Linked DNA regions of Caenorhabditis elegans. The protein of the gene in region 2 purifies or fractionates together with the protein of the main gene of each other region. This does not show direct contact. Each region holds a gene or a part of one and is shown on either strand. Other genes may lie near its edges.

Evidence for each region.
Region 1: the proteins of nhr-126 (region 2) and coq-1 fractionate together in Caenorhabditis elegans (co-fractionation; one large-scale study listed by BioGRID). This does not show direct contact.

What each region holds. Positions count from the first base shown.
Region 1 is NC_003279.8:5,410,797-5,418,316, forward strand, and holds coq-1 (All trans-polyprenyl-diphosphate synthase PDSS1), read right to left. Parts: upstream 4,834-7,520; 5' UTR 4,740-4,833; coding exon 4,696-4,739; intron 4,646-4,695; coding exon 4,549-4,645; intron 4,496-4,548; coding exon 4,382-4,495; intron 4,335-4,381; coding exon 4,258-4,334; intron 3,941-4,257; coding exon 3,849-3,940; intron 3,804-3,848; coding exon 3,700-3,803; intron 3,335-3,699; coding exon 3,224-3,334; intron 3,127-3,223; coding exon 2,991-3,126; intron 2,945-2,990; coding exon 2,801-2,944; intron 2,641-2,800; coding exon 2,459-2,640; intron 2,412-2,458; coding exon 2,331-2,411; 3' UTR 2,045-2,330; downstream 1-2,044. Other genes in the region: erp-44.1 (Thioredoxin domain-containing protein), read right to left, coding at 6,309-6,410, 7,143-7,227, 7,274-7,412, 7,458-7,520.
Region 2 is NC_003283.11:2,226,106-2,232,867, reverse strand, and holds nhr-126 (Nuclear Hormone Receptor family), read right to left. Parts: upstream 3,788-6,762; coding exon 3,681-3,787; intron 3,633-3,680; coding exon 3,561-3,632; intron 3,515-3,560; coding exon 3,456-3,514; intron 3,410-3,455; coding exon 3,216-3,409; intron 3,018-3,215; coding exon 2,799-3,017; intron 2,748-2,798; coding exon 2,557-2,747; intron 2,501-2,556; coding exon 2,128-2,500; 3' UTR 1,884-2,127; downstream 1-1,883. Other genes in the region: Nuclear hormone receptor family member nhr-134, read right to left, coding at 1-129, 363-581, 631-836, 1,207-1,265, 1,395-1,466, 1,519-1,625; Nuclear hormone receptor family member nhr-18, read right to left, coding at 3,899-4,271, 4,319-4,509, 4,574-4,783, 5,106-5,278, 5,327-5,385, 5,442-5,513, 5,559-5,665; Nuclear hormone receptor family member nhr-103, read right to left, coding at 5,826-6,198, 6,295-6,485, 6,538-6,747.

The DNA of each region.
Region 1 (7,520 bases), on a different chromosome or scaffold from region 2:
TGACATTGAAAGTTTTCATTGCAACAGCAAAAATAAGTGTCGGCTACTGAGGCAAATGACTTTTTTTTATTTTTATTGCCCTACAGCTAGGCGGGTTTCTCTTTTCTCAGTTGTTTACACACACAAATTGAGAAATCAGGTGGTATTAAGTGATGTTTATCTCTATCAATTGAGAGAAAATGAACACAAATTGCAGTGGTACAATGTTTTATAACTCAATTTTGTTTTTTAATAGGAAATTTGAAAAAAATACTAGACTATTTACGTAAAGCTGTAAAAACGCAACATTTTTCAGGAAATCAGTCATCGGAAATTGCGTAGATTTGAAAATGTCTATGTGACGCCAAAGGAAATTCGTAAATATTATTTTTTAAAAGATTGTGGGAACCTAGTGATAAACTGACGGAATTTAGTATTGCAAAATATGAAAAATAGGGCAGAAGACGGCGGGGGGCAGGCATCATAAAAGGAGCTCGTTCGCTTCAAAATAATAATCCGCAAAAATAAGCTATCTACCCTTCTTTTTTATATTATATAGTCATAAAAATTAAATGGAGCGCTAACAAAATGTTAGGATTTCAAAAATGAATCTGTTCTGCTCGTTTTGACCCGTCAAAATTTGAATTTCGGCGCGAAAAGCTGAACTGGAGATTGTGAAGAACGAGGAGACGCAGAATGAGGGAGAGTTGGGTCGGGGAACATCTGGACAGCAGATGGAAATGAAAATGCTTAGAAGCCTTTAGAAGGAATTGCGAGAATATTATATGGATTGAGTTGGGAGCAAGTTGAGGGAAACGAGGCAATTACTGGATTGGAATAAAAAATAAGGACGTATTGGCGAGGGAATTGAATAAAAAAAAATAATTTTGAAATATAATTCTAAAAATACTGACAATCTTAACAAAAATCAAGGAAAAAAGCGATTAGAACAAAGAAATTTGTTTCGAATTCGAAAGCAAAAAAGTTCTACCATAAACCACTTTCGCGTCGAGACCCATTAGAATAATTCCATGTGTACCTTTAAGTGATATTACGGTAAATATTGATTCTTTCGAATGAGAATAGAATTAACTTTCGAAAGAAAGCTTTCCATAATTTTAGGAACCCAATTTCTGTTTGAATTTCCGAATTCTGTTTGAAAAACTGTACACAAAAACATTTATATTTTTTATTCAGCTCTCAAGAACCCAATATAAAGAAAGGAGCGTATTTCAATTCGTTTCGCATTTTGTTTCGTCTTTTAACCGCTTTCGTGTCCCTCAAAATGACCTTTGACGGTCATCCTTCTCTTTTTTTTTCAAATACTCTTTGTCAAAAGAGTCAAAGCCACTTTTTAAGATGAGTAGAAGACGTGGAAGCTAGAGAAAAGAGGAAGGGCATGACAGAGAATAACAAATTTGATTTGAAATCGAGAAAAAATACTTTGAGAGTGAAGAGTTAGCAATATACCAGGCAATTTTCATTAGAAAAGGGAAATATGACTAGAAAAGTGAGGAATAGATTTTTCAGTTTATTGACAGGTTTTTTTTCGAAAGTTCAAAACTCACGGTGAACTGTGGATTTATTGTGTTGAAGCCGTCAATATTTTGCAGATCGCAGAAACTGAAGAAAAAAAAATTATAATTCGAATTTTTCGCATAACTCATTTTCAAGAAAATTAGGGCGATGAAGAAACATAAGAACGAAAAAAAATTCTTAGCAAGAAAAAATGCCTTTCTTTCACACAAGAATGGCTAAAACGGGCGGAGCGTCGTTTCATCTAAGCTCTCTCACTTTTCAACGATTTCTAATGGCGAGTGCTCCGTTTTTGGTTGGTTGGGTGGTCAACAGAGAGGAGCGGCGGCGGCAAAAAAGGAATTGTTCTAAATCTCTCTGCTATGAGAACTCTCTAATTTCTCTCTTTTTTATGCGTTCTTTGACCGAAAACGAGGGAAAAAATGCGCTGAAAAATATTTTCAACTTCACGCAGAGGTCAGAGTGTCTCTTATATTCTCATTCTCCCTCGCCTGAGCCACCCTGACAACAACTAAAAGTTACCGTATTTAAAAAAAAAGGAATTCATTTTCATAAATCTAAAAATTTCAATAATTTTCTACTGATGAAATTGACTGAATCTTAAAAAAACTGACTGTAAAAAAACAACAAAAAAGACGGCAACTAAATGAGAACTACAGGAATACAAAAAAACGGACGAAAATGCATAGAAAAAACAAAAAAAAACAAAAGAGTGCCAGAAACCAGAAAGTGGTTTAAAAACTGGTTTTACGACAATCCTACAGCTACAGAGAAATATGAAAAACAAGAAGGGAAACAATTTTTTCAGCAAAAATTTAGAATTTTCGATCCGACTGTGACATGGCTAATTTGATTAAATGTTCCGTAGATTCATTGCGGTTGGGGAGGGATGAAGCCTGAAAAGTTTAATTTTTTTTTTCTATGTTTCAGTTTAAAAAATTACCATTTCAACAGCTTTTTGTGAATATGAATCAATCAATCTTCGCGTTTTATCCATTCCATCCGAATTTACAACAATTTCCCGTGCTTTTTCAGCATCTCCATCATGCTTGAATTTTCGAAGAAGCATCGTATTGAGCTCAGGATATTGCTCGCAAGCGTATAGTACCGGAGCAGTGGCGAGACCTAAAATATAAAAAATTTGAAAATTATTTTTTCTTCTTTTGCAAAAACTTGAAACTATATTATTCGTTTTCTTCTCAAAAAAACTCGTGGCGAGACCCACTCAGAAAACCATTTAAAATGAAGTGCCAAATTTTTACGAAATATCGGTAATTCCATTCACCTAATTTCAAATCAGCGGCCACAGGTTTTCCCATTTCATCAGCAGTCGCTATAAAATCAAGAAGATCGTCAGCAAGTTGGAAAGCGATTCCCAAATTTCGACCGTACTCGAACGCAATTTCATGAAGCTTCAAATCTGATCCATCTGAAAAAGGCCGATATGTTGCAAAGAAAATTGATGCAAAAACCACCTGCAAGAATAGCAGCAGACCGGCAACTACTGGCGAACAAACTGGCAGTTTTTCGATGAGTTTTTTCTATATAAGCCTTCATTCTGTCTACTGGTGTAGCATCTGTTGGAGTTGTTGACATTTGCATAAATTCACCCTAAAATATTATTTATTAGAAGAAAATTTGAAAATTTATAGCTGTATAAATATTCAAATTTCATTATAAATAAATAAATAAATTGATTAAAACCTACTAAAACCAAATCTTCAATAATCGACGCCATAACTGAAATGATGTTGGGTTTTCCGATGGAGCAAAGAATCTGCGTGGCACGAGCAAGAATGAAATCTCCGACGAGCACTGACTGAAAATGTTTTTTAACATAAATTTAGAAGTTTTTATCCCTAAAAACTTCTTCTAAGTTTACAAGAGAAAAATTTATGCGCAAGAGGTTACTGTAGAGCGACCAAATTTTCGATTTTTCTGTTTGCCAGGTTTTCACAGTTTTTCTCCAAAAAATATAGTTTTAATCAACATTTCTAAAATCTAAAAATAATTTTTTTGCAGAGAAAGCTGCTTTAAAAGCTGAAAATTTTGGAAAATTCAGCAAAAAAAGAATAAATTTGTCGGATTACAGTATCCAATTTGTTTTGAAAATTCTTTATTTTTTATAGATCGTGATATGTTATATTCAAGATTAAAATTTTGTTTTAATTTCAAAAAATCTACCATTTTATTTCCCCAAACAGCATTGACACTAGCTGATCCACGCCTTGTATTCGCCTCATCAATGACGTCATCGTGCACTAGAGACGCTGTATGGATCATTTCGGCTGTAAATTTCTTTATTTCTCTTTTCCGACTATTCATAGTCTTACCAATCATTCCTATTTTGTACTGATTTTGACATACTGATAAATGAGCGGCGATCCCTGATCGTTCTGTTGACAACATTGCCAGGTACTCTTCTCTGCAAAAAAACTTTTTTTCGTTTTTGATCAGTAAACATTTTATTAGTGAACATCAATACGGGCTGCCAAACTCCATTAGACTAACTACTGTTAGAATTGTACTACGACATGTGAAAAGTTAAATTGAAAATTGTTTTGAAAAGTTCATGGTATGTAGTCATTTCAGCACCATAGGAATATTTTAAAATTAGTTTCATTTTCATCAATATGAAGTTATGCCAAAAATAGCAAAATCATTTTCTCCTGTGCACTATCTACGTAAATCAGACTGCTCTTCTTTTTCAGATATAAAAAGTTTTCCATGTAATAAACTTACGAAATTGAACGATTCGCTGCGGAATTACAAGCATTTCCCATAAGAAGCGATACAGTCGGCCGTAACATTTTTCCACCCTGAAATTTTCAATGTCTATGAGTTGGAAAAATATATTTTTAGAAACCTGTTGAAAATAATAATGTGTCATTCGTCCTAAATTCGATGTAACATTCAAGTCTGCTAGATTTTCAACGGCACCCGATTCATCCTGTGGTATTAGTTGTACCATTATATCGTTCTGAAATTTCAGTTTTTTGGTTAAACTTTTATTGAATTTAGTGAATTATAAACCTGCATTTGTCTAACATGTTCCTGCACGAAAGCTGTTGAAGCAACACTATTATCTGATGAGGATGTAGATGTTGATGTGGCTGCCATTGAACATTTTCTGCAATTTTTTTTTGAATTTCGGAAATTTAAAATTTCAAAAGTTGTTACCTGAACTGCCTTGCGACAATATTGATTTTCGGTAGAACACCCATAATTATCTTCTATTCTTGATTCTTTATACCAGTTTTTGTTTCTTTCAGTGCTCAAAAACTAGTTTCACCGGCGGCTCATGTGGGTTTAGGAGGTCTGAAAGTGAATGAAGATAAGTTTTTTGAAAAGTGAATGATGCAAATTGAGGCTTCTGAGAATGCCAAAAGAGTCATTGATAACAGATATAACTGTCCATTCAGGAGAGGAAACAGCTGATAATTGAAATTCGCATTAAAGATGTGATTGACGTGATTAAAAGTAAAAAGGAGTATAGTTATAACCGAGAATTTTGAATAAATTATATTATTATAGCCTAAACACTTTGAAAATGCCAATGAAAATTTTGGAGTAATTTTGAGAGGAACTTTATTTTAATAATATCTCTGATTTTTTTTCAATGTTAGATTGGTAAATAATTTTTTGGATTAGAAAAGAAAATATAGAAACCAGGAACTAGTTTTTATATTTTTTTTATTTGCCAAATTTTGAATTGAATTCAATTTTATATACACTGATTGATTCAAGCAACCAGTGTACTTCTCAAGATTTTACAGTTTTCGACCATTTTCACTAATTATTGCATCAATTGGCATTTATATCACCAATTTATCTCTTATTTATAGTATGTTATCTGAAAACCATACGTCCATTTTTAAATATTGTTAAATACTTTAAATATTAGAGAATCATTATTTTCAACTAGAGATTCACAGAAGTCTCTCCGAATACAGTTTATTCGGAAAAATAAAAATAAATTAGTTGTTGTATAAAGGTGATCAGAAAGATGGAAAATGAATGTAGCCTCCCACTTTTCCCCTTTTCACCGCCGAAGATCGCTTCTCTTTTTCTCTGTGCTCTCTCTTTCTTACGCACTTCGTCCCTATCTCAGTGTTCTTTGAATTCTCTTTTCTCTAGCAAAAAAGAATATATTTTTTATCAAATTTTGTTTCTTTCTCTCTTTGGTTCGAGTTTATCGAGAATAAAGAAGATCGATAGATAATTTTCAAAAGGAACAAATAAAAATATTTGTGAAAAATTTGGTCAATCACCTTTGACAAGTAGATGAATCGGATTGAATCCATTTAACCGCCAAAACAAAAAGGTTATTGAAGAAATAGAAAGAATAAATATATTCATTCGTTTCTGTTAACATTGTTGATTGTTTTTGAATTTAAGATTCAAAAAATTTTTGAAATAAAATTGAATCTAAAAACAAAAAAAAGACAGGGATAGAGACATGGGAAAACGAAGAATAAAACCGCGCATCACAGACAGGAATTGACTAAAACTTTCAGAGAGATGAATAGGAAAGAAATGGATTTTGATTGGCAAAAGAACAACAATCCGATGGAATAACATAGTAATGTATAGTTTTTTGTGGAAATCGGGGATTAAATAGTTGTGTGTGGGGGGACCTCGTAGAAACCAAGAAATAAAACCAAAACCAATGGAAAATTGACCGAATAAAACTGAAAATTAAAAAAAAAGAACACCAGAGAAATGCAAAACAAGGCCATGTTGCAATTGTGATATAAAGCTCTGTTATAAACAAAAATGAAAAATCAAAGAAATTAAAGTTCCGTTTTGTCAAGAATTGTGTATCTCGAAGAAGCAGGCTTCAACTTCTCGAATGTAGACGGTGGTGGCTCAGTGTCCGGTGCTTGATTTCCAGTCTGAAATGTCTTACGAAAATTGTAAATATGGTCTTTGGAAATAAGTACTGCAATTTTTTCAATAAAAATACGGTACCGAATCTCGAAAAGGCAAATTTTTGAAAAATACAAAAGGTGCGCGCCTTTAAAGAGTACTGTAATTTCAAGATTTATTTTTTCTTGAATTTTTTATTGACTTTTCGATCAGAAAAGGAAATTTATTTTAAAAAAAAATCAGATATAACAATAATTTTTTAATAATTTTTTTCAAATCGAGAAAAAAAAAGAAAAATCAATAAAAAACCGCAGCAACTAATTTTAAATTACAGTAATCTTTAAAGGCGCATACCTTTTCACATTTGACAAAAATTTGTCGTTTCGAGACCCGTTTACCGTATTTTTGACGGAAAAAGCACAACATTTCGCGTCTGGGAAAAATATTTAGAAAAAATCATCCCAACCATAATTTTTTTTAAATCTTCTAATAATTCGGAGTTTTTTTTTCAATTTTCAGTTAAAGCTTCATTTATTTTGTTTTTTTTTCATAGAAAATTCCCAATTTGAGGGATTTTCCGTCCTGAAAATCTCATGAAATTTGTAATTTTACATTTTTCAAGGATTTTTAGAGACTTTTTTAAAGGTGGTATAGAAAAAAGTCTGGTTCAGATAATAAAAAAAAATTCGTTTACTAACTTTTCAATAAATTTCATAAAAATTTCAAAAACCAAAAAACTCCCAAAAAGTGACACTTACCACTGGATCTGGACCATGGTGGAATTCGCGATGAAGCTTTCCGCTGTGCAGATCGAGCACGAATTCGCGGAGTTTTCCGGGGACGCTGAAATAATTTTGTTTGTTTATATAATCCATTTTCCAGATCTTACTTGACATCTTCGAAATTCTTGAATAAATACATATGTCGGAAAGAATCAATTGCAATGACTGGAAGATCGGATTCCGATTTACCCAAGTGACTGAGTGGATGCTTGAAGATTGTTCCATCACCGACCAAGCAGTTAATTGCTGAAATTATTCATTTTAAAATCTAAAAAAACTCGAATAAAATACCTTTTCTCTGATCAGGAAGTTCTCGAACAATTGCATCAGTGAAGATCTTCTCACTGACTTTAT
Region 2 (6,762 bases):
ATCAAGGCACGCGTCATTTCCACACATCATGACTGAATCTCCGAAAATCTTTTTTCTCTGATGGTCGGCGGTTTCAGCTAGTTTTTCGAGTCTGGTCCATGAGATCCAAGCTGATTTTAAGATTGTCATCTGAAATTAACACTTAGAAACTTTGCAATTGAAAACTATTCCAAAAAAACCCTATCCTGCCCAACAAACGCAGCCGACAATGATCGAGGCCCGCGTTGTGTTGCTCACTAAAGCAGCAGACATCAATCGAGGCTCGCGCTGTATTGCTCAAAAACGCAGCAGACATCAATCTGGCCCGCCTGATATCGCTCACAACCGCAGCCGACATCAGTGGAGGTCTACAAAGCATTTACCTTTGATAGCTCATCCAGTGCATTGAATTCCGAAAAATTTGAGAACCATTCAACAGCTCTCAGAAAAGCCTGCTCCCAAATCAGAAGCGATTCTTCTTGCCCGATTTTTCGAAGCATTTTTATTTTCTCATCGGGCTCTCTGGATCGGATTTCTTCTAGAGATAGAGCTAGTCTTTCAAGACTGTTATGAAATTGGTAGGGAATTTTAGTTGAGACATCCTGAAAAATAAATAGATTTTTCGTTGAAGCTTCAAGAAATTTGACTAACTCTTTTCAGAATATCCCTTGCCACATCTACCATATATGTGACATTTATCAATGTCTTGATATGCGATGCTCTTGTCGGCTCACAGCATAATAAAAGTGTTGGGCGGCCGAGAAATGTTGATAGGGATTGTGGAGGTGGTTCGATTAAGGAAACACGTTTTTGAAATTTATTGGAGCTGGAGATTAGGTCTCTGTTGCATTGAAATTCTGAAAATTAACCTTTTGTAAGTTGCAGATTTTGGATTTATTTTTCGTGTTGGAAAAAAATTAAACGTTTAGTTCGAACATAATTTAGAAGTTGTGAATCGAAAATTATAAACAACATTTAAAAAGTAAAAATTTGAATTTCGTTTCAAAATTCTGTAAGTTTCGGAATAATTAATTTTTAAAATCCTAGAAAAATTTCTAAAAAGTTGTTTTAATTTTATTTTAAATGTATTTAATTTTTAATTAAAAAATCAAATAAAGTGATGCCAAATTTTTTCACATTTTGTAAACTTGTGAGCTTCGTATTAAATTTTGCATTAATATTTTTTATAAATTTAAATATTTCCTGGTTTTTTTTTCGAAAACTCACTTGTTTCGTCCATTCCTACCTCCAAACATCGTTTCATACGGCACTTTTTGCATTTGAATCTAAAAAAAGTAATACAATTTTTGGAAATCGTTTTCATTTATTTGAACAAAATTTTAAAATTTTACTTTATAAGGTGTTCAAAAATTTATTTTTATTTTATTTTTACAAAGCGAAAATTGAGCTCTTACTTTCCATTTTCCAATAATTTGCAATTTCCATTTGGGCATCTTCCAAATATTCTGGAGCATGTCGCAGCTCTTCTGAAATTTTTTTAGCTTCAAAACAATATTTCCGAAAAATTAAATTGGGTACCTGAAAAACGCAGCACACGACCTGCAACTCATCACTCCAAAATGGCGTCCCGAAGTTTTTTGGCCACAAATTTCGCAGGGCCCCGACAAGAATAGAGGAGCAGGCATTTTTACTGATTAGAAAAAAACTGAAATTTCCAGTTTTCAAAAAAAGTGAAAAATACAAGAATGTCTATTTTTATAGATCGCAAAACTTGAAAAATTCACATGACAACGAAAAGGCCAGCAACGAGAAGACATGGAGAGACGCAGGGTGTAAAAGGAAAAAAATGTAAAGACGGAGCATGTGAGAGCAAGTTAGTTTTAGATAAAACATTGTTTCTGTGGGAAATTACAGAACTTATTCAAAAATAAATCAATAAGTTTGAAAAAAAACTTCATTCAAAAAAATGCTCAATAAATGTGGTGCGTCCTAACCAATATATGAGCGGGGCTTAATATTTTAATTTTTGTGCAAACGTTTTAGGAAAAGTCTATAAAATTAAGCCCCGCCCATTTCTTGGTTTTTATGCTAAAAGACAATGCAAAAAAGTCCAAATCATGGATCTCTAATATTTGCCTAGTTGATTCTAAGTTGATAATTCCAAGAATACAGTTATGTGTGTGGCATTTAAGTTGTGTCATACATCTCAGGGTGGGAAAAATCAACTTTTAAAATATCAAAAACATCTGCTATCCGTTTTTTATCAATCCGCAATCTCAAATCTGCCTCCAATAATCGATTGATTTTCATCAACTGCGACAACCGCGACGAGTAATTCGGCATTTTCAATTTCTCAACATAATACTTATGTAAATTATCCGCCTGAGCTTCCAACAACATTTCAGCAACTTCCATGACTTTGCCCTGTCCTTTACTCCCGGCATGGTATAGGGAAAGCTGTAGGAGCATGTAGCTGACTTCAATGCCACTAGGATCCAGATCTTTAATATATTGGAGTACTTCACAATAGTTTTTGATGTCTTCAGGAGTTAGAAAGAAGCTGTAATAGTTCACTTGTTAGTTTTAAGTTTTTTTTTTCAAATAGAAAAATCTTACTACGCAAGCTGCTCCAGCGAATAGTTTGTGCACCAAGATAGGTCAACTTCATAGTCGTTCATATCCATACAACACTCGTTTCCAACCATTAAAATCGAGTCTCCGAAAACACCATTTTTCTGATTAGCCGCTGTTTCAAAAATTTTATCCAGACGAGTCCAAGCGACCCATGAAGTTTTTACGATTTCGAGCTGAAAAATTTTTTTTTAATCAGAAAATTTCTAGATTTCAGAACGGCTTACCTTCACACTTTCATCTAATTCTCTGAACTCTGGAAAGTAGGAAAACCATTCGACAACTCTGAGGAAACCTTGCTCCCAAGTGTAAAGAGATTCGTCTCTGCCAAGTTTCTTTATGAATTTTATTCCTTCATTGGCTTTGAGGCTCCGCATTTTGTCGAGTGAGGAGGAGAGGATTTCCAGGCTATTGGAGCAGGAGGGCATGTTTGGGAATGTGGGTTTCTGGAATTAACTAGCTCTTCTGAAAGTGTGAACAATGAGCTTAACGATCTAGAAATTATCTTCAAATCTGTGCCTAGGTCATGTACTTTTTTTTATCTGAAACTCATTGTCCGTAATTTCACACCGAAATTCAGACAACAAGCGCAGGCATGAGGAAGGCACGGGGTAATCATGTAGACATGAAATAGGTTAACCTACTTTCTGTAGCATATTTCTAGCAATATCAATCAAATAGGTCACATCTATGGTCAACTTGACCGGTGACGCTTTATCGGGCTCACAGCACAACATAAACTCCGGCCGGCCGAGAAATGTGGCCAGTGATTGAGGACGTGTGATTATTGCAGGTTTTTTGCATGCGGAAGATATAGAATCTCGATTTGTTTGAAATTCTGAAATTTATAAGTAAAAATACACTAGATTTTGCAGACAACTCACTGCTAATATCCATGCCAACATCTATGCACTTTTTGAGCCGACACTGCTTGCAATTCAGACTGGAATTAGTTTTTGAATTAGTTTAGCGTTGGTTTAAAAACTAACTTTTTATTTTCAAAACTTGCACAATTTCCTCTGGGACAATGGGCCTTTTTTGGGCTCCAAAGTGCAGCTCTTCTGAATTTAAAACTTTTTTCAGAAAAATTGAAACAGTAACAAGAAAACCTGAAAAATGCCGCACATGCTCGACAACTCAGCACACCAAAATGTTTGCCAGAAGTGTTCTGACCGCAAATTTTGCAGGGTCCCGAAAGGAATAAAGATGCGGGCATCTGGAATATATATAGGGCAGTAATTGGCTAAAAATCCAATTCAGATATATAAAATGGTACATAAACGACCATAAATACATAACATTGAGAATTTGAGGTTATGTAAACTTTTTATGTCGCTTCAAACATCTCTGGGTGAGAAAAATCAATTTTCATAATATTAAACACGTCGGCAATTTGTTTCTTCTCAATTCGAATCCTTATATCTGCCTCCAACGTCCTTGTGATTCTCATCAACTGCGTCAGTCGTGACGAATAATTTGCCAACTTCAATTTCTCCACATAATATTTATGCAAGTTGTTTGCCTGAACTTGCACTAAATTTTCAGTAGCATCCAGTGCATCTCCATGTAATCGTTTTCCTGCGTGCTCCAGAGAAAGATGTAGGAGCATGTAACTGACTTCAATGCTGCTGGGATTCAAATCGATCATATCCTGTATCGACTGTTGGAAGTTTTTCTTACCATTCGGTGTTTGAAAAAAGCTGGAAACATCTATTAGGACTCAACGCAACAACAAGGCAACACTCACTATTTCAGCTGCTCCAACGAATAATTCGTGCACCAAGATAAATCAATCTCGAAGTTGTTCATATTCATACATGCACCATTACCGACCATCAACTGCGATTTACCGAGCATTTTGTTAATCTGCTTGTTAGCCGTTTCCGATAGCTTATCCAACCGTGTCCAGGAGAACCAACATGACTTTACAATTTCCAACTGAATACAATTTTCTTTTAATTAACTTTAGACAGTAAAAATAAAATTCTATTATAGAACTCACCTTCAAACGTTCATTCAATTCTCTGAATTCTGAAAAATTGGAAAACCATTCCACAACTCGAAGAAATCCCTGTTCCCAAGATTTCAAAGTTTCTACTTTTCCATATTTTTCGATAAATTTTACTTCCTTGTTCGATTCGACACATCGCATGTTGTCGAGCGTTGTGGCCAGTTGTTCAAGACTGTTTGAGGGCAAAACATGGTTTGTTGGCTGAAACGCTACCTTGAATTCTTTTCAAAAAAATTATATGCAGAGCGGGAGTTGGGTACAGTAGGCCTTTCACGAGGGCGCTCGCCCCACGCCATAGCCTTTCCCATGCGCATAACTATTATAATACCGCGCCGGACTCTGCAGCGTCAGCTGCAGTACACAAGGTGTACTGCGCGGTGTACACTTTTCATGCCTCGCCGAAAGTCTGACCATGGATACGGGGGGCTTGAAATCGTGACCTCAAGATTGCTAGCTGCGACCACTACCGTCTGAACCATTCCAGCTCCTCTGCACCACCTGCTATTTTCTGATTTTTGCATACCTTCTGCAACATGTCCCTTGCGATATTCACTAAACGAGTAACGTCTATTGTTGTCTTCAACACTGATGCTCTGTCTGGCTCGCAGCACAAAATGAACTCGGGTCGACCGAGAAATGTGGCCAAAGACTGAGAAATAGCAGAACACGAAATAAGGTCTCGATCTGTCTGGAATCCTGAAATCAAACGTATAGTGATTTTTAAACATTGAACTTTTGACTCACTTCTAGTATCCATGCCTACATCTAAACACTTTTTTAGTCGGCATTGTTTGCAGTTGAATCTGCAAATTATTAATTTTTAAAATTTGCTGTAAAACTTGAAAAAAAATTTCCTTACTTTCCATTAACGCTAGTATGACAGGTTCCGTTTGGGCATATCCTCTTTTCTAGGTTCCATGTTGCTGCTCTTCTGTAAATTTTGTTCTTAAATAATTATTTTACAAAAGCTGCAAACCTGAAAAATGCGGCACAAGCCCGACAACTCATTACTCCAAAGTGTCTTCCGGAAGTTTTGTCCCCGCAAACTTCACAGGATCCCGAGAGGAATAACGGTGCGGGCATCTGAATAATATTTCGAAAGAAAATAATTTTTTTTGCGCTGAAATTCAAATAATTACATTAAATATTCAAAGTGTTATATTATACATATGAGTACACTTTCGTTGATAAAGTAAAAAATTAACAAAAAAACGGTTAGCTTTCAATTTTTATGCAGAGGATCTTAAGTCGTTTCAAACATTTCTGGATGGGAAAACTGAATTTTGAAAATATTAAAAACATCTGCAACTTTCTTCTTTTCAATTCGAAGTCTCATGTCTGCCTCCAAAGTCCTAGTTATCTTCATCAATTGTGTCAATCTTGACGAGTAATTTGACAACTTCAATTTCTTCGCGTAATAATCATGCAATTGATTTGCCTGGGCTTGAACTAAACTTTCAGTAGCCTCCAGTATATCTCCCTGCAATCTTTTTCCCGCGTGCTCCAGAGAAAGCTGCAGGAGCATGTAGCTGATTTCAGTGCTACTTGGGTTGAGATCAACCATATCTTGTATCAACTGACGGTAGTTCTTCTCGTCGTCCGGGGTGAGGAAAAAACTGAAAATCCGATTTTAAGATTTGTGAGTGATACGCATAGCCCGACATTTAACGGGTTAGTGTTTTGGAACCCGGTAGATGTCGCTCAGAACTCACAAGGCCAATTGCTCCAACGAATAATTCGTACACCATGATAAATCAACTTCATAATCATTCATATGCATGCAAGAATCATTTCCAACCATCAAAAGCGAGTTGTCGAGAGTTGCGTTCACCCGTTTGTTAGCAGTTTCCGATAGCTTATCCAACCGGATCCATGAGACCCAGCAAGTTTTTAAAATTTCCATCTGAAAAAAAATACAAAAAAGTTAGTAACCTTATATGCTAAAAGTTAAGAACCTTTAAGTTCTCATCCAGTTCCCGAAATTCTGAAAAATTGGAGAACCACTCCACCGCTCGGAGAAACCCTTGTTCCCAGGTTTTGAGAGATTCGTTCTTTCCAAGCTTCTTGATAATTTGTGTTTCTTTGTTCAACTTCATTCCTCGCATATTTTCAAGTGTAGTAGAAAGTTGTTCAAGGCTGTTAGACAAAGGGCATTGACATGGATCCTGAATATATAGAAA